Linked DNA regions of Cricetulus griseus. The protein of the gene in region 4 interacts with the protein of the main gene of each other region in a pairwise test. Links are inferred from orthologs where the notes say so. Each region holds a gene or a part of one and is shown on either strand. Other genes may lie near its edges.

Region 1 (4,151 bases), on a different chromosome or scaffold from region 4:
TGTTTCTAATTCCTTCTAGTCTATAATAATTCATTCCTATCTTAACTGGAAAGGCCTGACAAAATTAATCTTTCATTGCCATATAATATATGGGGTGTGAAATATGCATCTGTCTTTGGCGAGTGCAAACTTGTTCTTGCTACATAATCATACAGACTTAGTTCTTCCAGGAACACCACAACACTGACTATTGGCAAATTCGTGCATCAGTAACAGAAAATGGTATAGCATTATGACCATGTATTAGTAAAATGAAGCATCAGAGTTTGGGTTTTGTTTGGTTTTTGTTTTCTTCTCTTTCTTGTGTGTGGATGCACATGCACACATTGTTGCATACATGTATGTGCTGGAGTTCATCCCAGGCCCTTGACAAGCTAATCATGTGAGCCTGCCAAGTTACCCATAACTCTGTTTCTTATTGGCACAGTTATTTTAAATAAAATTGGTGCATTACCAATAAGCTTTTCTATTCACTCCAAAGATACATGATTTTATTGATAAAAACTTTCTTCAGATAAAGCAAGATTTTTAAAGTCCAAAGTATTTTTTAATTTCTCAAATTACTGTGTATTTATTATACTATCTAAAGTTCATAATAATGCTATGGATATCCTCACTTTAGTGTAAAAAATATCAAAGCTTATAACAGAATTATATATCTGGTATTTAAAGGTTAATTTTAACTATGTGTATATTTGGGGATAGGATATGTGCACGTGTCAGTGCAAGTGTCCACAAAATTCAGAAAAAGATATTGGATTCCCTGAAACTGGGGTTACAGGTGGTTGTAAGTCACCCACTAAGGGAGCTGAGAACCAAATGTGGCCCCTCTGTAGGGGCAGTATGCAGTTGTGAGGTCTGAGCCATCTTTCTAGCCCCTAAGTCCAAGATTTTAAATTGTCTCATCAAGCCCGAAATATTAATATCCTGAATGTTAGAAATCAAGTCATTTTGGTCACTACTTAGTGTAGCATAAGAAAACTTCTCTTCAGTTTCCTATAGTTATTATTCAAGACGTGTATAGTCCAGGTGAAAGAAGAGAGGCCATGAGTAAGTTTTAAGATGTGTCTCACAGAATAATGATAATACTTGAGATTTGACTTAAGAAAGGAAAATAATGATCTTTTTTCATTTTAATATTTGCATGGTTTGTAGTTAAGACACTAGTCTTCTGAGATGACCTACTTTGGGTCTTGGTACAGTCCTTCCACTTGACCTGGGGAGGATCTTGCTTCTTTCCTGTTTAGTTTTCTATAGTTAATTATGTCATTGGGTCTTAACAAAATATTTCCACAAAGCGCGTGAACTTGGGACTCTGTCTTCTTATGTTTATCTCAGGCTTTATTTTAAAAGGCAAGTGAGACCACTTCAAACCAAACACTTCCACACTTCCAAGAAACAGCTGAGAGAAGGCAGAGATGAGCAGAAACCCTTTGGCTGACACTCACACAGTTGCCATGGACCTGCATAAGCAGTGGGAGAACACAGAGACCAACTGGCATAAGGAAAAAATGGAATTACTGGACCAGTTTGATAATGAAAGAAAAGAATGGGAAAGTCAGTGGAAGGTCATGCAGCAGAAGATTGAAGAGGTATGAGTTGATTTGTTTAAAGATGCTGTAAACTCCAAGCTAAATGTGAAAATCCTGCTGACATTCATTTTCTATTGGGGACTACTTTCATTTCTCTTCTTCCACCAAAGAAATAAACGTCTTATGACGCTAGATCAAAACCAGCATAACCACACCTAGTGGTGTCTCTGAGAGTGCATTTATTTTATAGTCTTACATGAAAATACAGACCTTGAAATGGTTCTCAGCCTCGCTAATGCTGTGACCTTTTAATACAGCTCCTCATATTGTGGTGAGCCCACCCAACCATAAAATTATTTTGTTGCTGCTTTGTAACTGTAATTTTGCTGCTGTTATGAATCATAGTATAAATATCTTACATGTATACTAACTTATATGTGAGCCCAAAGGGGTCACAACCCACAGGTTGAGAACTGATGCTCTACAATGTATCAATTTAGTATTCTCTGATTTCAGGTTTATGGTACCAAAAGTAATGTATATGTTCTGTATGACTCCTCAGCTACTACAGCCTAGAATGAAAATGCAAGAAATAAATAATTGGTGGGGCATACAGTATCAAGATTATAATTTGATAATCATATACCATCTCCTTTCTTAGAAATGACTAATGTATACCAAATATTGTCAAATAACTCAGAAGCATCAAATGTATGTCATATGTCAGACAGAAAAATGGTAGAGGACATCAGATTTATTCTGGCAATGTGTTAATAGGAAATGAATTTTTTAAATGACATATCATGGCTCTGACACAGTCAATAATTTTATTCTCATTAATCACCCCCTAGTCATCCTCGACTTTTGCATGAAATGTTCCTTCAGACATTTACTTTAGTGTGCCTTCGAGCTTGCTCCAACTGAAATTTATGTATATTAATTTTGCTATATTTCATTCAATAAATAATATTGAATTTTTTGGTTTCTTCAACTTAACAAGACAGTTATTTAACAGATTCCCGGGCCTTATTTTTTTTCTTTAGCAGACAAGCAAAGTAAGTGCTTTGTATGTTTACAGTGCAACCATGCTTCTTTCTGATTAACAGAAAACAAATAGGTTGTGAGTAAAATACACAAGTGGTATGCCATAATGGAAAATAAAGGATGGGGGTATTAAATCCTTCCTCTAGGGAATAATAAAGGTGAGACATCTGTGATTAATGATTCCAAAATAAATCTACTTTTACTACTACATTTGAAAAACATATTGTACTAGCGTCCTTCACTTCCCTTATCCAAGGGCTTTCCTACCTGTGATTAAAACAGCATAGTTGAGAGTATATTTATAAAAATGTGCTACATATACTGCCCATAGGTAATATCTCAATGCCAGCACTGTGTGTCTTCTTCTGGTTATATACATATGGACTACAGTGTACAAAGCTAAGATAAAAATACTGAGAAAACCACAAGGGGGGTGCTTGGAAATTGTATGGTTCAAACATAGTGAAGTATTTTTTCTTTAGCAAATATGTTGTTTAACAAGTACAGTACGTGTGTTTAAAGTTACTAGGCTCTAGTATTAAATTCTTTCAGGATATTGAGCCATGTGCTAGAAAGACGCAGACTCCAGAGTGTGCATCTGTAACATTGGTGATTTTAAGTAATAATACAATTGAGTGAAAGCATCCAGTATGAAGATGGTCCTGTATCTCTGCTGAGTCCCTCTCCGCATTCATTACAATTGCTATTGAAAATCCAAGGCATATGTACTCAGACAATTTGAAACCTGGAATAATTCCCTATGAACTATGATCATGTATAACTTAGCTGATAGAAATCTTGAAATTTTTTTGTTCCCTTGCAGTCTTTTCTGCTTGTGTCATTTGGTCATTCAGCTATTGAACAGGAAAAATTTCCTATACCAAAGAAAAAGTTTTCCATTTGTTACAGTGTACTAGTACTAGTTTCAGGGGGTGGGGGGCAGAATTCTTGCTGCTGCTGTTTTAATTTCTCAACTAAGTTGAGTTTTGGGAAGCTATAATGGCATAAAATTACATATAAGTTAAATTATACCAAACCAAAAACTGAAGGATTAGATGAATACATGAAAAGGAATTGTATATAATACACAGGAGTGGGTCTTTCTAGAACCCAATATAGTTAACATGCAAAATGAAAAGCCATGAGTTGTGAATAGCACAATTTCCCCTGGGTCTAAAAATATAGCAATTTTCTTTTTAATTCAGGAAATTTTTTGTTTTGTTCTGTTTTGAGACACGGTTTCTCTGTGTAACAGCCTTGATGGTCCTGAAACTTGCTTTGTAGACCTGGCTGGACTCGAACTCACAGAGATTCTCCTGCCTCTGCCTCCTGAGTGCTGGGATTAAAGGTGAGTGCCACCATGCCAAGTCTATTCAGGAATTCTTAAAAATGGGAAAACACTGCCAACAATATCCTTAAATTTAACAGGGGACTTTGGGGGTTGTTCCTTATATCATTCATGTTGAAGAACAATTCAATACAATTAATTTTGTAGGCATCAAAACAATCAATTTATTGCTGTAGTTTGGAAATGAGTGATTAAAATCTTTATCAATATTGGGGAACTAAAAGCAC
Region 2 (4,294 bases), on a different chromosome or scaffold from region 4:
TAACCATCTAATACAGTGTTAGCTTGGTAATGGACAGCTTTAATTTGTGCTTGCCTTGACATGTTTTTGTTTCATAGTCAGTTTTAAAAGGTAACTTAGGTGGTAGGTATGGTTCTCTTGGTTGGCAGTTACTAGCTTTCATGGCTTAAAATGTCCCATGCTCACCTGGTCTTGAGGGTTGCTGGTGAGAGAGGTGTCATGCTACTCTTTATTGCTGAATTGGTGCCCCCCCCCCCCACCTTCTGGTGTTGGTTGTTAACTTTCTTGTTTTCAATCTTGAGTGTGATATGTGTAGAAAGATTTATCTTTAGTCATGTCAATTAAATTTAAATTTCTAAATGTTATGGCTTCTCTTTCCCTGGATTTGGGAAACTTGGTGTTATTAGTTTCATCGACCATTTTCTATGCCTCTTTACTTCTCCCCTATGGATGGGTCTCTCTCTTTTCTCCCCCTCCTTCCTGTGTGTGGGTGTGTGGTAGGGAATTGAACATAGGACCTTAACATGTATTAGGCAAGCACTGTACACTGAGTCCCAGTCTTGCCAACGGAGTGTTAAGTCATCTCTGGATTATAAGAGTTCTTACTCTTACTTGATTCATTGAGCCTTTTATTTCTATGACTTTTTTTTTTTTATGTTTTTCAATTCTCAGTGCCTTTGACACACTTCTTCACGAAGCTGTCCTTCTTAATCCACGATGCTGGTTTTCTCACCCTTGATGCTGACTTCTCTCCTGTGTTGCTGGGTGGCCTTTCCAGGGCCTAGATTGGTCTCCTTATGTCATTCGTCTGCTTGTTTAGATTGTCTTTGAGGTTTAGTGTTCGTTTTGTTGTGAACTTTTGAGCTTGTCATTGGTACTTTGATACCATAGGACTTTGGATTCACTGCTTGAGGAAGTCACAACATTTTGGAGACATCATGTTGCCTTCTTGTTCCTGTTGTGCCTTGTGAATGGTTGGTGTGGATTTCTCATCTGATTTTATTTGGGGATCTTCATAGTGAACAGCCCACTCGTGAAGTCTCTGCCCCAGTACCACTCAGGGGACAGCAATAATTAAATCATAAAGACAGACTTCCATGTAAAATTACTAAACCTCATTAATGTGTCACCTGTAACCATATGACGGAAGGGGTCAGAACCAATGGAGAGTGTGGTATGGTGGAAGTAGTAAATGAAAGAATAAACACAGGGTCATGGGTAGTGGGAAATAGGGAAGTAAGGCTCACAGAAAGAACGAATAAAGAGAAGAGGCAAATATTATGAAGGAAAAGAGAAAATCGAGAGAAAAAATATAAAAAAATTCTAATAACAAGAAACTTGTCAGCAAACAGTAGGAAGAATAAGGAGAGAAATAAAAACATAAATACCTAAAAAGAAATAAGAGAAACTGGGGTTTTGCAAGCATCTGTGGTAAAGGATGCGATGTGCTAGTTCCACCTGGAGTAACCCCAGCAACCTCGCTTTCATCCTTCTCTTCTGCATCCAAAACAGATCCCCAAAGAAGTAGCGGCCATCTTCAATGCTCCCAGTGACGACGAGGAGTTTGTGGGTTTCCAGGATGATGTTCCCATGGAAACCCTGTCAGGGAGCTTCCAGAGTTTGGACTCGCTGGAGCTGGAGAAACAGGTAGGAGTCTTTCTTCTCCAGACAGGCATGGCCCTCTGGGAGCCTGCAGCAGGGTGTGGGGTACTTTCTCATCTCAGTGCAGTCATCAGTTGGTGATTTGGTGCATGGCGGGTACTGTGTTTCAGAGTCTCAGCTTCCTGTCTCCAGAAGCAGCTGCCTGCGTCTTTCTTTAATTCCCGGCCACAGACAGCTTTGTTGATGAAGGGATTAAATCCACTGTCTTCTTCCCCCAGCTGTCTCCTATGGCAAGACTGTGTTTCCCTCCTCTCACACAGCTGGCAAGGGTGGGCCAGGCTTGCTTCATGCTCTCACACAGGTCACGGCAGTGAAGTGACTTGTGAGACAGGTGCCATGTAGTGGTCTTGCACAAGATTTCTGTCATCCCACTTTTGGGGAGCCTGGGGTGGAATCACCTAATCCTGCTGGGAGTAACAGAAGCACTGGGCTTAGGTTGGGCTCTGTTGTTATTCAGAAATCCCCCAGTCCCCCATGCATGGTTAGAGAGGGAGAGTGGTACCTAAGCCACAAGGTCAAGGGACAGTGAAAGGTGCAAGGCTTGTGGGCATCAAAGACATCTGCTGTTTTTGCTGCTATGACGACTATGTCCATAGTCCCGTCTTCCTTTGCCAGGCCCCAGGCCTGTGAATATGGCACTCATATTGTGTACAGATACTGAATTTACTCCAGACTCCAGGGGCTGGTGGAGTACAGATGAAATAAGCTCTGGGACACAAAGGACTTAGCCACGGTCCTACATTGAAAACAGTGCTCGGTAAGGCTGGCTGTTCCGAATCCAGGACACCACTTCCCAGTCTCCTCCTCCCTGGCACTTTCTCTTACCTGTTGTGCACAGCACATATGCCGGCCAACTCTCCTCACAGCCACTCTTCTGTCAGCTGGCTCTCCCTACTGGAGTGATTCCTTTTCCCCTCTGTGATAGAATGTATGTCTCTGCCTCTATCTAAGTCCTTGTGAGCCTGTCTGACTCCTCAGATTGCAAGTTCCTTGAAGGAGGAGATCATACTTGGCACAGTGTTTTTTATCTTCCCCGGCGCTGACCTTTTGTTGGGCTGCCGCTTTGATCTGGGTTCAGGCATGTAGGACTCTGCATCACCACGCATGGGAGGCACCCGTGGGTGTTTATCGGGTACAGTTGGAAATACATCCATCTCACTGCTACACAGGTCATTGCTATCCAGTCCTTTTTTCATGACACAATTGCTTCTGCCATTTCCTCTTGCTTTAATCATAGTAGACACTGCTTCCTTGGTCTTGCCTTGGCAGCGTAATGAGCAGCTTTCAGAAAGCCAAGAGCTCTGTGAGCCTTTACCCAAGCAGTCAGTGAGGCTGTGCAGTGGAGATTAGCTTTGTACAGCCAGGTGAGAGTAAGCTTGTAGCAAAGCCATTTTAATCCCATCAGGACTGCTAACCTTCTCTAGGATAGAAATTGCCAGGAAGGTTAGAACTTGCTGCTCTGGGCTTGACTCATTCTCTTTTAGACTCTGTATAGGATCTTTGGACATTTATTGAATGTGTGCATTGAGGCTGTTTGTTGCCCTGGAAAAACCGCCAGAGGTTAGCCAGATGTTTCCTGCACTCCGGTGCTTGGTGGGTTTCCTTAGCAAGTGGTTGTGTTGCACTTGTTTCTTTCTTTCGATTTATTTTTATGTGTAAGAGTGTTTGCTTGAGTGTGTAGTTGTGCCCCACTTGGAAGAGCTGCGTGAACCCTCAAAGTGGAGTTAGGGAAGGTTCGAAGCAGCCGTGTGGGCACTAAGAACTGAACCTGTATCTTCTGCAAAACCATTAAGCGCTCTTAACCACCGAGCCATCTCTCCAGCCCCACACTTGTTCTTACATTGATTTTCAACCCTGGTCTAATGCTCACCTGACCCACATACTTGTGATTCAGTTTGTCCAGCTGAGAGAAAGGGCATCAACTTGCACAGTGTGTGTAGCTGACCCTGGGCTCCCTCCCTTAAACACAACTCAAGTTTCTCTGGAAAGAAACTCCTTTCTTTTCTTTTTCTTTTTTTTTTTTTTGCAGCTGCACCACAGCTAACAACAAAGGAAGGAAGTAATTTAGCTCTGAGCAAACCCATTCCAATTACCTATAATTCATAGGGGACATTCTTAAGCTTACTGCTAACTGTAGGCATTTCTTTCTCCACTACCCTGCAAGTTTTCCCACTATTATATATTTCTATTATATCTTTTTTTCCCTCCCCAAAGATATCTGAGTCTGAAGAAGTATATAATTAAAGCCAGAGAAAGGCAGCAATGAAATGGTGTCAACCAAATGTGGCTTTATGAGGGGTCACTGCATGACTGGGTGTGAGCACAGGGACCAGAGTACAGGGATCCTAGGTCTATACTTCCGTGTCTGGCTTTCATGTGTGTTTTCAATTTAGCAGGATGTGTGTTTCCATTCCAAATACCTCACTGAAGAGCTAAGGAGGATTTTCATAGAGGACACAGATTCAGAAGCTGAAGATTTTGAAGGATTTACAGAGAGTGAGCTGAACGTAAGCAGTGACCCAGAGGTAACGGAAGTGGTGGCCCACGCAAAGGAGCGTGGGCTGTAATGTTTCTAGTCTTGCATTGAAGTGTCCTTTTACAGACATGTTACCTTACAAATAAAAAGATAACTCTATCTTTTTTTTCCTGATTT
Region 3 (3,386 bases), on a different chromosome or scaffold from region 4:
TTTGAGCAGAGGAGAATAGTGGAGGGAATGATGTAAATGTATTTTATTTAAATTTAAAAAGTAACGGTAAAATTGGGATATGTACATCCGGTTACTCATGAAAAGCCATTATTATAGAATAAAAAAAAAATACCTCCTGTTGGTTGTTATTAAAGTTGAAATCTGTTATCAGTATTCTTATGGATATGATTGCTGACCATAAGGCAACATGAAGTTGAATTTGTGACATATATGTGTATTCTGAGGGTAACATTTAGCCTATTGTAATTTATGATTGTTCAACATCACTACTGCCTGATTTATATATAGTGTGATCCCAGAGGAACCCATCATAGCTTTCTCTTGACCAAACTATACATACCCCAGCATTCCATCTAGCCTTTATCACACCTGTCTCCATTCTACACTCCCCCCCCCATGAAACATACTCATACACTTGTTTAGGTTGTCATCCATCCTATTCCCATTTAAATGTTAGACTCTTTTTAACCAGGACATTTAGTTATTATGGTTACTATAAGCCCTAATTTTGAAGGAGAAGAATACTTTAGAGAGATAATCATGGTGATACTTTATTTTGTAAAAATTGTATTTTTTTCCCCTAAAACGGTTTTTTGTTTTTTGTTTTTTTTTAAGTTTTGAGACATAGTCTCATTATGTAGCCTTACCTGGCCTGGAGCTTGCTATGTAGACTAGGCTGGCTTCAAACTCATAAAGATCCTCTGCCTCCAGAGTGTACCCAGCATTTTTTTTTTATTTGTTTGTTTGTTTGTTTGTTTGTTTGTTTTTAGGTTAGCATACAAAGTAATGAGTTTCATTATGGCACTTTTGTATGTATGTGTCATTATACTGTCCTTCCTCTTAATGACCCTCCTACACCAAAAGAGTCCTCCCCTTCTGCTTTTGTAAGACTTTTTGTAAAGGAAGGAATTTCAAATAATAGTAGCCTCAAGGTAGATCTTAAGCACATTAGAGAGGAGAGCCGTTCGTGTTTGGTAGAGTCAGTTTTATAAATCCTATCAGAGGAGGAGAAAGTAAACTTGTGAAGTAAACTAAGATTATATCATTAATTATTAAGTACTACAAAGGAGTGTGAGTCAGAGTATAAAGCTCTATGAGAAGCGATTTTGACCTGGTAATTTATAAGGAATTGCTTCAGAACTGAGGTGTGGGGTTGCTAATGGTCTAGTGAGTAAAGACCACAATATATTGGCCAGCAAGAACTGTTTCTCAGCAATGGCCTATGGAAGTACATTCCTGCTGATACTTTGATTTTTAACCTACTCTGGATGTTTGATCTTCACAACTGTAGGGCATTACATTTGTGCCATTTTTAAGGCATTTTATGTTTTTGATGTTTTGTCACAAAAGCACTTAGGAAAAAATTCAGATAAGAACTGATAGTTTGCAAAACTAGAAACATTAAAACATTTGCAAAAAGGAAAAAAATTATTAAGTTCTGCTATTAAGTAGGCAACCTTTAAATGAAGACAGAGATGGTAAACAAAATTTAGCTAGAATAATGAATATTACTTCGTTAATTTACTGAAATTTAACAAATAACTTGAGTATTTTTGTGTATTTTTGGTAGCTGTTGTATTTGTTGTTGATAGCAGTCATAGAGACAGAATCAGTGAAGCACACAGCGAACTTGCAAAGTTGTTAACGGAAAAAGAACTCCGAGATGCCTTGCTTCTGATTTTTGCTAACAAACAGGTAATAGATTTTTTTTATATCAAAACACTTATTACTTTAGTAGCTTTGTGTATTCCATGTCATAAGTAAGATGAGAAGATCTCAAAGAATCAACTCAATAGCTATCTATAAAATTTCTGCTATGGAAAATATTACCTTGGTTATCCTAGAGTACACATAAACACACAAATCAATGAATTGATGCAGACAGTGCATTCTTGTTTATGGAGCGTGTTATATTCTAATAAAGATAAACTGGGAAGTAACTTCAATCAGGAGACAGCTATTCTAAATGAATTGGTATCTTAAAGAATCTAAATGTAAAGCCGGGTGGTGGTGGCACACGTCTTTAATCCCAGTACTCGGGAGGCAGAGGCAGGCAGATTTCTGTGAGTTCAAGACCAGCCTGGTCTACAAGAGCTAGTTCCGGGACAGCCTCCAAAGCCACAGAGAGAAACCCTATCTCTACCCCCCCTCAAAAAAAAAAAATAAAAGAATCTAAATGTAGTATTGAGGGAGGTAGATCAAGAGGAACAAGAGTTTAGGCTTTCCTGGCCTATATAGAAATCTCAAAGCTAGCATGAGCTGCATAGCAAGACCCTGTCTCAAGAAAATAAAAGGCTTAGGTTATAAGATTGGAATTAAAATTGTGATAGGATGATTTTATAGATGTCTTTGGGCCTGTAGATAAAGGAAATAATACTAACAAGAAGAGACATAACATGTATTTTTAAGAGATTCAGGTAGAGGATGAAGAAGACCTAGATTAATAGATCTGGTTATGTTGTAAAGGCCTTGCAGGACTAGAATAAAAAGGTTAAGATTTTATGCAAAAGGAAAAAAATATCAAACTTTTTGGACTTGTACATGATAACATCATACCAAAATGTTAAGACTAATTTTGGGGGTAAAAACAAAACAAAACAAAACACAGCCAGGTAGTAAACATAGGACATGTAATTAATAATACCTTGAATTAGAGGAATAGAAAGATGGGAGGAGATAGGAGGACTTCTGTAAGGTAGATTTAGAATAGTGGCTGAATAGAGAAGATGAAAGATAAGGTAGGGGAGGCTAGACTCTTAGTGCCTGAGCTTCACAGGGGGTTAGAATGCTTTTTGTGTGTTTTGGGGGGGGGGGGGGAGGGGGAGGGGGAGGTTCTTTGTGTAGCATTGGAGCCTGTCCTGGAACTTGCTCTCAATACCAGGCTAGCCTTGAACTCACAGGTATCCACCTGCCTCTGCCTCCCTAGGGTTAGAATTAAAGGTGTGTGCCACCATTGCCCAGCGTGACAGAATGCTTTTAACTGAAGCAATGGTGGGGTTTTAATTACGCTTTGTGGATGGGTATTTCCTCTGCATATATTTGTGCATGTGTATGCCTGGTGCCCACAGAGGCCAGAAGAAGGGTGTCAGAGCTCCTGAAACTGGAAAAACAGACAATCATAAGCCAAGCCTCATAGTTGTGAGGACATTTGGGTGCTGGGAATAAAACCAAGGTCCTCTGGAAGAGTGACCAATGCAAACCATGGAGCCATTTCTCCATTTCTCTGAAGTAAAGTTAAATACAGTAGATGTCACAGGAGGGGAAAGTAGAATGAAAAATAAAGAATTTTCACCTCACTAAAAATTAACAAGAACAGGCAAACAAAAAGAACTGAAACATCCTTACCTGACCAGTAAACATGTAGA
Region 4 (3,500 bases):
CAACCTGGTCATTCGCAAGCGGAAAGTGGGTGAGGGCTGCTCCCACACCAGCAGGGCTGTCCCTAGTCCCTCATGGTCCCCACAGACACCTGGCCAGAGGCTGCTACATGCTGTGCCGCCCTGGCCTTGTCCCCACCCAGCTCCATCTACACCTAGGATGTATGCATGAGAGCCTTCTCTCCTCTCATCATGCCTACCTGCTGCTACCCAGAGGAGGGAAGGGGAGTTCCTACCATTGTTCAGGCTGTGAGAGAGCCACAAGAGTGAAGGCAGCACCTTACTCTGCCTTGACTGAGACCTGCAGGGTGCCTTATGCAATGCCCCAGATCCCTCTGCTAGGAAGGGCCCAGAAACGAGGGCTGGGGGTCCACAGCTTGGCACCTCTACTCAGAGCAGTCATCCACTGTCCCACCTGGGCCCCAGAGCTTCTACATACCCAGACCTTGGCCTCAACTCTGTCTCTTCCATCTGTAGGTGTGCTACTGGACATCCTGCAGCGGACAGGCCACAAGGGCTATGTAGCCTTCCTTGAGAGTCTGGAACTCTATTACCCTCAATTATACAGGAAAGTCACGGGCAAGGAGCCAGCACGAGTCTTCTCCATGATCATTGGTGAGAGGCACAGAGTGGGTGGGTGCTGTGAGTGCAGTCAGGTGCCACCAGGTCCTGGCTTCTGTGATTACATCAGAATGAATGAGTCTAATACAAGCCCTGTGGTACATATCAGAGTAGTGGTACCAGTGACTACTCTCAGGTGCTCAGGGTCAGGGCTCCCTTCTCTGCCTTTCCTACTCCCATCCTAAGAACATCCACTAAGAAGAGGTGACCCCTCTATAAAGTATTAATTCCATGGGGCCCAGTTACCACCTAAGGACAGAATCCCACAGTTTCTAGAGGGGACAGAGGTGAACTGATGGAATAGCCACATCCCTATCAGTCCACATCCCTATCATTCATCTCATAAAGATCTTTATAAAGGTAGACAGAGGGCCAGGCATGCTGGCACACACCTTTAATCCCAGGGAGAAGCAGGCAGATCTCTGAGTTAGAGGCCACCCTGGACTACATAGTGAGACCTTTTCTCAGGGAAAAGAGAGAGAAAAAGAGAGAGAGAGAGAGAGAGAGAGAGAGAGGGCCAGCTGGAGTCCTGGCATGTGATAAGTTAGAATCTCAGTCAGTTCATATGTGAGGGGCAGCAAGGCAGACTGGGCCTGGTGAACAGTCCCCAGGGAGCCTTCCCACCAGCTTTCTCTCTGTGGAAGACCAGTAGTGCTCCCTCTGCCCCTCAAACTGCTGGTCTTCAAGCACATACTTCTGGACAAGGACAAGCACAGGGTCTGCAGGTGACAGCCACAGGCTCCATCTGACACTGCATGGTCCCCAGATGCATCAGGGGAGTCAGGCCTGACGCAGCTGCTGATGACAGAGGTCATGAAGCTGCAGAAGAAGGTTCAGGACCTGACGGCACTTCTGAGCTCCAAGGACGACTTCATCAAGGAGCTTCGGGTAAAGGACAGCCTCCTGCGCAAGCACCAGGAGCGTGTGCAGCGGCTCAAGGAAGAGTGTGAGCTGAGCAGCCGAGAGCTGAAGCGCTGCAAGGATGAGAACTATGACCTGGCCATGCGCCTAGCACATCTGAGTGAAGAGAAGGGCTCAGCGCTCATGCGGAACCGGGACCTGCAGCTCGAGGTGATCGCTTGTCCCACCAGCAGGGGGGTGGGGGTGGGGGTGTCTGGAGGAGGCTGCTGCTGACTGGACCACCCACAGGTGGACCGGCTCAGGCACAGCCTCATGAAGGCAGAGGATGATTGCAAGGTGGAGCGAAAACACACCCTGAAGCTCAGGCATGCTATGGAGCAGCGGCCCAGCCAGGAGCTGATGTGGGAGCTGCAGCAGGAAAAGGACTTGCTGCAGGCCCGGGTGCAGGAGCTGGAGGTCTCTGTACAGGTAGGGCTACCAGCAGTGCACACCAGGGGCACACCAGATGGTACAACTGCAATGGCCAGGCTTGTTGCCCTTTGCCACCTCCAGGAGGGCAAGCTAGACAGGAACAGCCCCTACATTCAAGTGCTGCAGGAGGACTGGCGCCAGGCACTGCAGGAGCACCAAGAGCAGGCCAACACCATCTTCTCCCTACGCAAGGACCTCCGCCAAGCTGAGGCCCTCCGGACCCGGGTGAGAGGGCAGGGCAGGCAAGCAGTACCCACTGGGTATCTGGAAGGCAGGGTCTGGAATGTAACTCACTGTCTCCCCTTCACCAATTCCTGGTGCACAGTGGTGTCATGTCCACAGCTAGGGTCATCCTTTCAGTTTACCGTGTGATCGGTGGTGGCTGAGGCCATGGTCTCAGACCAGGCAAGCCTGCTGTGGCCTGGGACTGCAGTGCCCTTCCCATCATCCCGGCTAGCCCGATCTTGAGTGCTCTGAAGGTGTTGCCTGAGTCCAGCCCAGGGCCAGGTGAGCAGTGGAGAGTGGGTGAGGCTGAGTGGTGCTTCCTGTAGTGCGTGGAGGAAAGGGAGATGTTCGAGCTGCAGTGCCTGGCCTTGCGTAAGGATGCCAAGATGTACAAGGACCGGATCGAGGCTATCCTGCAGCAGATGGAGGAAGTCTCCATTGAGCGGGACCAGGTAGGTGTTGCATTTGTGTTCAGAAGATGAGAATGAGAGGAGTGTTTGGGTGCCGGTGTAGAGGCTTTTGAAGCTGTGGTCAACTCATTACTTTATCTATCTATCTATCTATCTATCTATCTATCTATCTATCTATCTATCTATCTACCTACCTACCTATCTATTTATGCCTGAGGTAACTTGGCAATGTTGAAAGATAGAACCTGGAGCCTCTTGTACAAAGACAGGAACATCTGCCTCTCTCACAGGAAGGGCCAGTGTAGCAGGGGAGTCCCAGTGGCGCCTGTGCTGGTTAGGGGAAGGTCAGGGTTGGAAACTTCAATAGAGGAGAGGAAGTTGCTAGCTACACAGGTGGGAGGTGGAGGCCACAGTATTGGGTAGAAGAGCTGGTGGTAACCCCCTGGAATAGGCAGCAGTAGTAGTAGTGGTAGCTCATACCTGTACTCCCAGCATTTGGAGGTTGAAACAAAATAACTACTGTGAATTCAAGGCCAGCCTGGATTACACAGTGAGTTCCAAGCCAGTTTGGGCTACAATGGTAGACCCGGTCTCAAAAAACCAAAAACAACAAAAAGTAGTAGCAACTGAGCCAACTTTGGTGGCACATGCCTGTAATTCCAGGCTTTGGAGGTAGAGTCAGGAGGATCAAAAATTCAAGGCCATCCTCAGATACATAGTAAATTTTAGGCCAGTTTGGGAAATGAATGAAACTGTCTCCCAGGAAACAAAAGAAGAAGCATGGTATTCATTTTAAGAACAGCCATCAATCATGTTCTTTGTTTGTTTTTTGTTTTTTTGAGACAGTGTTTCTCTGTGTCATCTTGGCTGTCCTGGAACTCACTTTGTAGACCAGGCTGGCCTCCAACTCACAGA
Region 5 (3,957 bases), on a different chromosome or scaffold from region 4:
GAAAGCAAGAACTGAGGTAGAAGCCATGGAGGAACACTGCTTATTGGCTCGCTCCCCAAGCTCAACCAGGACCATCAAAGCAGGGGTGGCACCACCCACAATGTCTGGTCTCTCCTACATCAATCATTAACCAGGTTAATGACCCCACGGGATTGCCTAACAGGCCATCCCAGACAACTCTTGTGTGTGTGAAGCTGACAGGGAAAACCAACCAGCCAAACAAACAAACAAACAAAAAACAACTAAAAACCCCACCAGGACGTGAGAGAAAACTAACTTTTTCTTTAACCCTAGATGGCATCAGACTATAACCCGGAGAAGCGTAAGATGAAATATGCTTTTGCTTGGCGGTGGTGGCACACGCCTTTAATCCCAGCACTCTGGAAGCAGAGGCAGACCAGCGAGTTCAAAGCGAGTTCCAGGACAGCCAGGGCTACACAGTGGAACCCTGTCTTGAAAAACCAAACCCAAACTAATCCAAGCAAAAACCCCGCCCCGCTTCCCCTTAGTTGTTTATCACAGCAAGAGAAATAACTGGAGCGGAGAGGAAAATAATAAAACTTCTTCCTGGAGAGAACGCTTGTGCACGCCTTCCGCCCATTCATGCCTTAAACTTTTGTGGGCCCAGGCTGGCTTGTCCTAAAAGAGCCAAGAAGGAGGCACCTGGGTGCAGAAATCTGCTGTCTTAGTGTCAGTCTGTTTCAGGAGAAAACAGGAATAGGGACTGGCAAAGGAAAACGGGTTTATTTACAGCCTGGCCAGACTGCCTGGAGATAAGTTCTTAGGCTCCTTTACCTTTCCTGTTTACAGCAAAGAGGAAACAAAAGCCCGGAAGTGTGCATGATGATTGCTCTGCAGCGAGGGGATCGGAACGGAGAAATCTCTCCTAGGAAGCCCCTCGCTTTCCCTTCTCGCGACAGGGAGTGCCGAGGGCGTTTTAATTACTCAGGGTCCGCGTGACATTGGTTCAGGTAGTCCGGACCCGGCTGTTCCCATCCGCGAGGGGGGGGGTTCCCGGAACCATTCCTACGCTCCCTTGGACACCGGTCAATGGCGTTCCATTGGCCGGATGTCTACTCCGCCTCAGTTCCGGTGGAAACCGGAAGCAGTGCGGGCGGGATCTCTAGTCCTTCCGGCACGCAGACCCTCCCCCCTCTAGTGGCAAGTCACCGCCTAGTGACGTCATTCCGGTGCGCCGGCAGGGCTACATCCGGGTTTCGGCTGGCGGGCTCCTCGCAGGCTCTCGTAGGCTGGAGAAAGCTGTGTGGCTGGCAAACGCCGAGCGAGGTGAGCGGCGGGGTCGGGGTGGCGTCCTGGGAGCACGGGCTGAGCCTCTGCGGCGGCCCCATGGCCTCCCTGCGCCCGGGTCTCCAGCCATGGGCTGCGGCGGGGCCGGGACCAGATGAGGCGCTGGGAGCCGCCAGCGTCCCGATGCTGACACTGGATAGCCAGCCCCGGGCGCGCTCGTGTTGTGAGCAGCACCTGACCGCTGTGAAATTTTTTTTTTTTTGTAGCAGTTCTGTGCTGGGGAGGCGACGGTGTTGTAATCCGATTGGTCCAGGGCTCCCTGCCTCCTTTGAGAACTTTGCGAGCAAAGTGCACTCGTAGCTCAGGTTGGAACCTGTTGATGTTAACGGTGCATAATGAGGAGGAGCAGGGACACATTTGTTAATGGCTAAGCAGTCCCACCCTGCTAGAGAAGCCCAGATCTCGCTGTACGTAAGGAAGACCGCTGTCAGTCGATGGCGTCACACACTGAGGACGTTAGTGTGCTGTGTACCACGCTAGCGTTTTTGTGTGTGATATCCACGCATGTGATAACCACGCACAGAGGCGCTGGTAGAGGGGGGCTTTGAACTCAGGCTGTGTGGTTTAAGTGTTCCTGATTTTCACAATCCTCCCTACCTCCCTCCGTCCCTACACAGGGTCTCTCTGTGTAGCCTTGGCTGTCCTGGAACTCGCTGTGTAGACCAGGCTGGTTTCTAATTCACAGATCCGCCTGCTTCTGCCTCTCCAGCCTGAAGAGGATACTGTTTTTGGTTTTTGTTTTGGTTTTTTCGAGACAGGGTTTCTCTGTGGCTTTGGAGGCTGTCCTGGAACTGCCTCTTGTAGACCTGGCTGGTCTTGAACTCACAGAGATCCGCCTGCCTCTGCCTCCTGAGTGCTGGGATTAAAGGTGTGCGCCACCACTGCCCGGCGAGGATGCTGTTTTTAAAGCACCTATTGGGAGCTCAGCTTTTGTTATTTTGTTTGTTTTGAGACCAGGTCTCACTGTGTGGCCCCGACCAGCCTGGTATTCACTATGTAGACCAAGCTGGCTTTGAATTTACAGAGTAGACCTACCTGCCTCTGCCTCCTGAGTGAGGCGGTGGGGTGGGAGGTTGAGGAGGGGGATTGTGGAGTAGGTGTTGAGGAAGTTTTCTTTCTTTCTCTCTCTCTCTCTCTCTCTCTCTCTCTCTCTCTCTCTTTTTTTTTTTTTTTTTTTTGGTTTTTCAAGACAGGGTTTCTCTGTGTAGCTTTGGAGCCTATCCTGGCACTGGCACTTGCTCTGTAGACCAGGCTGGCCTAGAACTCACAGAGATCCGCCTGCCTCTGCCTCCCGAGTGCTAGGATTAAAGGCGTGCACCACCAACTCCTGGCAGGAGTTCTCTTTTCTAAAGTGCCACTTTAATCAGTCCTTCTAAAACCGACTGTAGTCACTGATACAATTACCGAGATGGCCAAACAGATTCCTGGGTAGAACAGTTTGTTTATCCCACACCCTCTAGGTGCCGCTGTGTAGTGTCATTCATAAAGACCTCAGCCTTCCAGTACCTCAGAAGCCACTCAGGTTTGAAAGAAAAAACCCGAGTGTTACACTGGTCATTCAATCTCATGAAACAGTATTTCAGAAGACATTCAGAAGTTTCCCTGGGACTCCCAGTTGGCTTGATATAACTCTTGGAGAACTGAAGAGGCTGAGGTGCCCACTCAGTTTCTGAGGTAATAACATAGAACTATTACTTCCTTCCTGTGGCACTTATGGGTGATGTTTGACTCTGACAAGGCCAAGGCAGAATGGGTTCTTAGACCTGTATGGACTGCTGGGACTGACTTCTCTCACTTGTCCCAGAGCTGGCCACTTTGTCCTGTGTTTAATGGCTACTTTATTGACTGGTAGCATGAGGCTAATGGGCTTTCCTTTGGAAGAAACAGGAGTAGAGATTCCTGGGCATCTTCTGTTGGCCCCAGGGTTTCACATTGCTCTTCTTGTCCCCCTTCCTCTAGTGACCAGCCATGTCACTGTCCCACCTGTACCGGGACGGGGAAGGTCATCTGGACGATGATGATGATGAGCGTGAGAACTTTGAGATCACTGATTGGGATCTCCAGAATGAGTTCAACCCCAACCGGCAGCGTCACTGGCAGACCAAGGAGGAGGCCACTTATGGGGTATGGGCTGAACATGACTCCGATGAAGAGAGGCCCAGCTTTGGAGGCAAACGGTACTGTCTGCTGAGCTGCATGCCCTGGCTTTAGAGGATCGGAGAGGCACCCCAAAAGAGTTTTCTGGCCTATCAAGTCCTATAGCTACAGCATCTTGCTGTGTGTTGTTGACCTGGGGTGGCAGGTTCTTCCTCAGCACTTACTGTGACGAATACAGCTACTTAGGGATAGACGAGTGCTAACCAACCACAGGCTTGGTAGCTTTGGAACCATGCCCTGGTCAAGGAGCATTCTCACAGGTCCTAAAGGATAGGGAGGTTAGGGAAGGTCACCCTGTAGAATACAGTTGGCTGAAATGAAGGTAGAGAGTGATTAGGGCCACAAGATAAGTGTGGTAGGACAGCCTGTGCTACACAGTAAGACACTGTCTCACAAGAAAAGAAAAATGCATGTGTCCCCACACTTAACTACACTCAGAATTTTTTATTAATTTTACTTAGGATCCCCCCGAGACAGGGAGTCTTTGTGTGG
Region 6 (3,181 bases), on a different chromosome or scaffold from region 4:
CCTTTAGTCCCAGCACTCAGGAGGCAGAAACAGGTGGATCTCTGTGAGTTTGAGCCCAGCCTGGTCTACAAGAGCTAGTTCCAGGACAGTCCAAAGCCACAGAGAAACCCTGTCTCGAAAAAAACCAAAATAAAAAAGAAAAGAAAAAGAAACACTTCTTGCAAGCCTTTAATCCAGCACTCAGGAGGCAGAGGCAGGCAGATCTCTGTCAGTTCAAGGCCAGCCTACAAAGCTAGTTCCAGGACAGCAAAGGCTACACAAAGAAACCCTATAACAAACAAACAAACAAACAAACAAACTCACTCCTCCCTCCCTTTCTTTCTATCTCTGAGATGAGCTACAATGTGAAAGAATTATCTGTACTCAGAAAATGTAACTGTCTCACTGACCAAAAGAATAAAACACACATCACCATTTCCCTAGTTGCAAAACTAACTGACAAAGCTTATGGGAAATGAGAAAGACCGCACATATTTAAAAAAAAATCTTGGAGAATGAGAGATTTTTCCAGTTCAAGTACTTTTATTTTTGGTAAATGTAGATTACAAAATCTCAATATTAGTACTTATATGCAGATACATAGAAAACCCAAATACCAACACTGACTTGAACAAATTAAACATGGTTTTCATGTGCTGTGTGCACTCTTGCACAACCACCATCTAGGTTTTAAGATCATTCCAAGTCACATGAAACCACACTTTGTGAAACTTTTGAGTTGTTGATGACTTTGTAAGTTTCTGTTTAAAGGACTAACACATTACATTATAATGAACACCACTGGAATGCAAAATGAAGAAAATAAAACAAAATATAATTCAGACTTGACAGCCTCAAAACACAGGAAATAGAAATATCTGCTAGTTTTATGCACCCACTGGGGGAACTGTCATAAAGAGGTAAAATATACATAAAGAAAAGCCTATAGATTCCACTGAAGGAATACTGGGGATTTAGGGCACTATAATTGATGAAAACATGTGAGTTTACATGGAACTAAGAAATAAATTCTTTAATATGATAAAATCAATGAATGGTGTCTTATACCCCAAATTACAGCACTCCAGAGGTTGAGGCCAGAAGGAGTTCGAGCCTAGCTTAGGCTACAGAGTGGAGTCAGGTTTATAAAAATAGATACTCTGTCAAACAACAAAAGAAAAAATGCATATCTAACCACATGGTAACCTTCTGTGTGGATTATGCATAAAATTGATTTACATGTTAAAGAATCAAAACCCCAAATAACATTATATCATTTTTAAGGAAAAAAATTAGTAATATTAAACAAGAGGCTTGTTGTGTTTAAGCATATAAATCAGTAAACAAAGGCCTTAGAGAAGTGATTTCCACTTCAGTTAGTTAGTAAATGAATGTTGATAAATTCAAAGGCTGAGGGAGTGAACACACATGCCTTTGAAGACATGAAGATTCCTGACATCAATAAACTATGTATAATAAAGAAGATAAAGACAAGCTCACACAAAGGGAAATATGTACAGCTCATTTAACTAAGAAAGCAGGCTCTAATCCAAATTCTAACTCACAGTGCAACTTTTAATAGGTTAAGAGAGACTTGTGCCGGGCGTTGGTGGGGTGGTGCACGCCTTTAATCCCAGCACTCAGGAGGCAGAGGCAGGTGGATCTCTGTAAATTCGAGGCCAGCCTGGTCTCCAGAGCGAGTGCCAGGATAGCCAGAGATACACACAGAGAAACCCTGTCTCGAAAAATCAAAAAAAAAAAAAAAAGGAGAGAGAGACTTGTAAAAATGAGAAAATCAAGGACAAAAGGATAAAACTCTAGTCATGTAAACTTAAGAGGCCCCAAACACTATTTTCTTAGCACCCATTTCCAGGAGTGCACTTTTTGCATAGTCAATAGGAAGTCATATTCAGACTGTGCATCTTTTTGTTTTGACATTCTTTCTCTACAAAACCCAGGCTGGCTTCATCCATGGGAGTCTGCCTCAGCATCTCCAATGCTAGGATTATGTATTTGAAGCACCACAATGTACTTGTACTATTTTTTTGAGACAGGGACTTTACAATCTAAATTGGCCCTGAACTCACATAAACCTTCCTGCTTCATCCTCCCTAGCATCTGGATTACAGACATGTGCCATCACACTTGCTTCAGAAGGAAGGTATATAATTTGGGATCAGTGTGAGGCAGACTACCTACAGTTATGTAACCTGGTTAAGTCACTGAAGATCTCTGGGCCTCTTTCCTCATCTGTAAGTCTCCAGAATATCATTCATTTCTTCAGAACTATAGAAAGGCTCAAATGAGACTATTTACAGGTATTTCTCAACTCTAACAACAACTTAAAGCAAACTAAGAAATAACCAGAGCAATGTTGATGCCTGGGTCCCACGCCATAGGTTCAGACTGAATTATTCTAGGCTTGGCCCTCAGCACCAGTATACTTCAATGCGCCCAAGAAAACTCTAATGTATAGTCATTCTGAAACCCACAGGCCTGCAACTTTATCAGAGGATGACCTGGGGATTCTACCAAGTTGCAGATCAGGATTCAAAGAGTATCAGTCCAGAGAGTCTGCCTCTCTAACATGATCTCAGGCTGTGTAGAGCTACTGTGCTACTCTGAATGGCCACAAGTACAACGTGATAGTCTTGTACTTTTCCCAAACAACTTTTTAACAATGGTGGCCTGCACTTTGGCAAACAACTCTCTTTCCTTATTCCCAGGACTGTAGTAAGAACAGTATACCAAGCCAGGTGTGGTAGTGTATATCTGTAATTCCAGCTCTGAGGAGACTGAGGCTAACTGTGCTTGCATAGTAAGATCTTTCACAAGCCAAAATCCCAAAGACAAAATAGCAGTAAGATTCTATAAAAAATGAACACAAAAGGGTTATGTTATACACATAAAACACACACCCCTGAAGGGATTATTTACAAATTACAAGCACACCCAGTTGCTATGGTACCACTGCTCCCCACATTCATTACAAATGACATAGGTCATTTGTTCATCCGGATTTGAATTCTGCACCCAACTTGGAAGGAAAAGTGTTCCTCTTGCAATTACAGTGATCTTGCAGTTATATTTCTCACAGCGCCTGCACTTTATTTTATTTGTCTGTGTGCCTTCAACTGTTTGGGGAAGGTGATGTTCCTGAATACTGGATTCTGTGTAGGAAGCTCTCAACTGCTTCAGTTCC
Region 7 (2,137 bases), on a different chromosome or scaffold from region 4:
AGAAATAGTTGCCATGGCCCAGGAGAGCTGTGCCAGCGATGGGCAAACAACGCCTGTCACCAGAATCACAGTGTTAGAAATGGGTGTGGGGGCGTCTCAAGAAAATGACCACACAACCCAAAGCATTCAGCAAGACAGAAAGTTATACTTCCGTAGGTTGTGCAGCTGTGCCACAGGGGTCCTGAGTCCCATTCTGGTTGGTCAAGAGTTCAGCCTCTTCACAGTTGAATAACTTAGAGCTGTGCAGTCCACAAGCAAAGTGTAACTTTGAAAATAGGACACAACCTTGAGCACAGACTTTGATCTTAGAAATATGCTGACTGGAAGGGGATTTTCTTTTGCTAGATAGCCTCTTTAGAGATGGAGCTTCATCTCATTTAACCCTCTGATAGAAAAGACAGTGCGTTTTGTTTACAGTTCCCACAGGGGTCCATAGATAGACTGGTTCCTCCCTTGAAAGAGGGCATTGGACAAAAGCAAAGTCAAAACCCAGGCAGGGCTGGAATAGAGTTGGTAAAGTGCTTGCCTTGCAAACGTAAGGTCTTGACTTCAATCCCCAGAGTTCAAGTTTGAGAAACCGAGTGTTGTAGATGTTGCTAGTAATTCAGCACTGGGGAAGCAGACCTCTGAAGCACGGTCACTGACCAAACAGCCTCGCTTTGTGTGTGTGTTTGTGTGTGCCATGTGTGCCCATGCATGATCCAAGCCAATAAGAGACTTTGTCTTAAATTAATAAGTAAATAAGTGAAAGGAAAAGTGGATGATGCCAAAGAAATGACACCTTAAGGTTCCCTCCCCCCACACCTATAGGACCAAGTTGAAGGACTCGGTGGCTTAGCAGTAGGAGCGTTGGCAGGAAAAAGTGCACCCTCAAGGATGGCTAGACCCTGCCAGAGTCCCTAAGATTGTGTGTAGCCTGTGGAGTTGAAACCAGGGGCAGTAACTGCTCAGTGTATTGGGTCAGTGATAGGATGGACACTGGGTGTTGTGCCTGAGGGAGCCTGGCAGTGGTAAGCAAGAGGTGAAGGTGTGTTTTGTTCTTCCTCTGCAGACTGATGAAAAATTCCAGGTGATCTTGCGCCAGCAAGACGTCCCCTTGGGGCTTGCTATGATCCCTGAACAGCTGGAGGCATACGAGCTGCCTTTAATGTGGCAACTATACCCAGGGAAAAAGTACAGAGGCAGTGACTCCATGCTCTGGCAGATACTGTACCACATCAAGGCAAGCACAGCTTATCCTACGGACTGAGTGGGTAATCTCCAGTGGTCCTGCTCTCAACTTGGGGTTGGCTTGGGTTATCCCTCCATCCTAGTACCAGAAGCTAAGCTAATGGAAGGGGAGCTAACTGCAGATTTTTGTTTTTAAATGGGTTAAAGAAATAGAAGAGGCTATCTTCTGAGGTCTCAACCAAACTCCTTAGCACAAGGAGCTCTGTGGTAGTCACTGACTGAGACCAGTGGAGAGGGCTAGCCCCTCAGGTCCCAGTGCTGCCCCAGGCTAAAGAAAGCTAAGCCAGCATAGAAGGGGAGTTCTTGGGGCTGGGTCTGATCACTCTTGTCTCTCTCCTTCCCCACCTTAGTTCAGAGGCGTAGAAGACATGCTACTTGAACTGATGGAGTCTGAAGAATATCCATGACATGGTGAGTGCACCGGGGCTCCATCAGGAAGGAGTAGTACCCTTTTCCATGAAAGCCATGCCGGCTCCTCCCCAGCAGCTGTCCTCAGAGAGAGCCCAGGGTGAGGCAGGCTTCCCAGAAGTGTCCATGTCTCTTCCTTTACCCCCCTAGGAGCTACAGCTACAGCCGTGTTCATGGGCCACCACAGGTTACCGTTGTTTATGATCAGTTGTCACTGTGTGACTTTTTTTTTTTTTTAGATTTTATTTATTTATTATGTATACAACATTCTGCTTCCATGTATATCCGCACACCAGAAGAGGGCACCAGATCTTATAACATCCGGATGGTTGTGAGCCACCATGTGGTTGCTGGGAACCCAACTCAGGACCACTGGAAGAGCAGTCAGTGCTCTCAACCTCTGAGCCATCTCTCCAGCCCCCATCACTGTGTGACGTTTACAGAGGCAGATTTCTCCATCTTACCCATTCTCCTCACTGGGTTGGTGTTTGCCTTGGCC

Evidence for each region.
Region 1: the proteins of Card9 (region 4) and Kiaa0408 interact in a two-hybrid assay, tested with the Homo sapiens proteins (2 studies listed by BioGRID and IntAct). The two-hybrid records come from large-scale screens. The link is inferred for Cricetulus griseus from reciprocal best matches to the Homo sapiens genes CARD9 and KIAA0408.
Region 2: the proteins of Card9 (region 4) and Cdca7l interact in binary tests that used the Homo sapiens proteins (3 or more experiments, as listed by UniProt). The link is inferred for Cricetulus griseus from reciprocal best matches to the Homo sapiens genes CARD9 and CDCA7L.
Region 3: the proteins of Card9 (region 4) and Trim23 interact in binary tests that used the Homo sapiens proteins (3 or more experiments, as listed by UniProt). The two-hybrid records come from large-scale screens. The link is inferred for Cricetulus griseus from reciprocal best matches to the Homo sapiens genes CARD9 and TRIM23.
Region 5: the proteins of Card9 (region 4) and Tfip11 interact in binary tests that used the Homo sapiens proteins (3 or more experiments, as listed by UniProt). The two-hybrid records come from large-scale screens. The link is inferred for Cricetulus griseus from reciprocal best matches to the Homo sapiens genes CARD9 and TFIP11.
Region 6: the proteins of Card9 (region 4) and Tceanc interact in binary tests that used the Homo sapiens proteins (3 or more experiments, as listed by UniProt). The two-hybrid records come from large-scale screens. The link is inferred for Cricetulus griseus from reciprocal best matches to the Homo sapiens genes CARD9 and TCEANC.
Region 7: the proteins of Card9 (region 4) and Tcl1a interact in binary tests that used the Homo sapiens proteins (3 or more experiments, as listed by UniProt). The two-hybrid records come from large-scale screens. The link is inferred for Cricetulus griseus from reciprocal best matches to the Homo sapiens genes CARD9 and TCL1A.

What each region holds. Positions count from the first base shown.
Region 1 is NC_048595.1:247,808,326-247,812,476, forward strand, and holds the start of Kiaa0408 (uncharacterized protein KIAA0408 homolog), read left to right. Parts: upstream 1-1,351; 5' UTR 1,352-1,418; coding exon 1,419-1,592; intron 1,593-4,151.
Region 2 is NC_048598.1:191,926,219-191,930,512, forward strand, and holds the start of Cdca7l (cell division cycle-associated 7-like protein), read left to right. Parts: upstream 1-1,494; 5' UTR 1,495-1,569; coding exon 1,570-1,626; intron 1,627-4,034; coding exon 4,035-4,178; intron 4,179-4,294. UniProt on the Homo sapiens protein: Plays a role in transcriptional regulation as a repressor that inhibits monoamine oxidase A (MAOA) activity and gene expression by binding to the promoter.
Region 3 is NC_048595.1:322,471,743-322,475,128, forward strand, and holds part of Trim23 (E3 ubiquitin-protein ligase TRIM23), read left to right. Parts: intron 1-1,591; coding exon 1,592-1,716; intron 1,717-3,386.
Region 4 is NC_048599.1:137,744,308-137,747,807, reverse strand, and holds part of Card9 (caspase recruitment domain-containing protein 9), read left to right. Parts: coding exon 1-29; intron 30-474; coding exon 475-612; intron 613-808; exon of another isoform or gene 809-1,384; coding exon 1,385-1,689; intron 1,690-1,767; coding exon 1,768-1,947; coding exon of another isoform or gene 1,948-2,031; coding exon 2,032-2,175; intron 2,176-2,501; coding exon 2,502-2,627; intron 2,628-3,500. UniProt on the Homo sapiens protein: Adapter protein that plays a key role in innate immune response against fungi by forming signaling complexes downstream of C-type lectin receptors.
Region 5 is NC_048597.1:92,000,000-92,003,956, forward strand, and holds the start of Tfip11 (tuftelin-interacting protein 11), read left to right. Parts: upstream 1-1,157; 5' UTR 1,158-1,287; intron 1,288-1,514; exon of another isoform or gene 1,515-1,715; intron 1,716-2,768; 5' UTR 2,769-2,982; intron 2,983-3,267; 5' UTR 3,268-3,276; coding exon 3,277-3,485; intron 3,486-3,957. UniProt on the Homo sapiens protein: Involved in pre-mRNA splicing, specifically in spliceosome disassembly during late-stage splicing events. Intron turnover seems to proceed through reactions in two lariat-intron associated complexes termed Intron Large (IL) and Intron Small (IS).
Region 6 is NC_048604.1:101,283,365-101,286,545, forward strand, and holds the end of Tceanc (transcription elongation factor A N-terminal and central domain-containing protein), read right to left. Parts: coding exon 2,920-3,181; 3' UTR 501-2,919; downstream 1-500.
Region 7 is NC_048598.1:189,490,436-189,492,572, forward strand, and holds the end of Tcl1a (T-cell leukemia/lymphoma protein 1A), read left to right. Parts: intron 1-1,051; coding exon 1,052-1,222; intron 1,223-1,580; coding exon 1,581-1,637; downstream 1,638-2,137. UniProt on the Homo sapiens protein: Enhances the phosphorylation and activation of AKT1, AKT2 and AKT3. Promotes nuclear translocation of AKT1. Enhances cell proliferation, stabilizes mitochondrial membrane potential and promotes cell survival.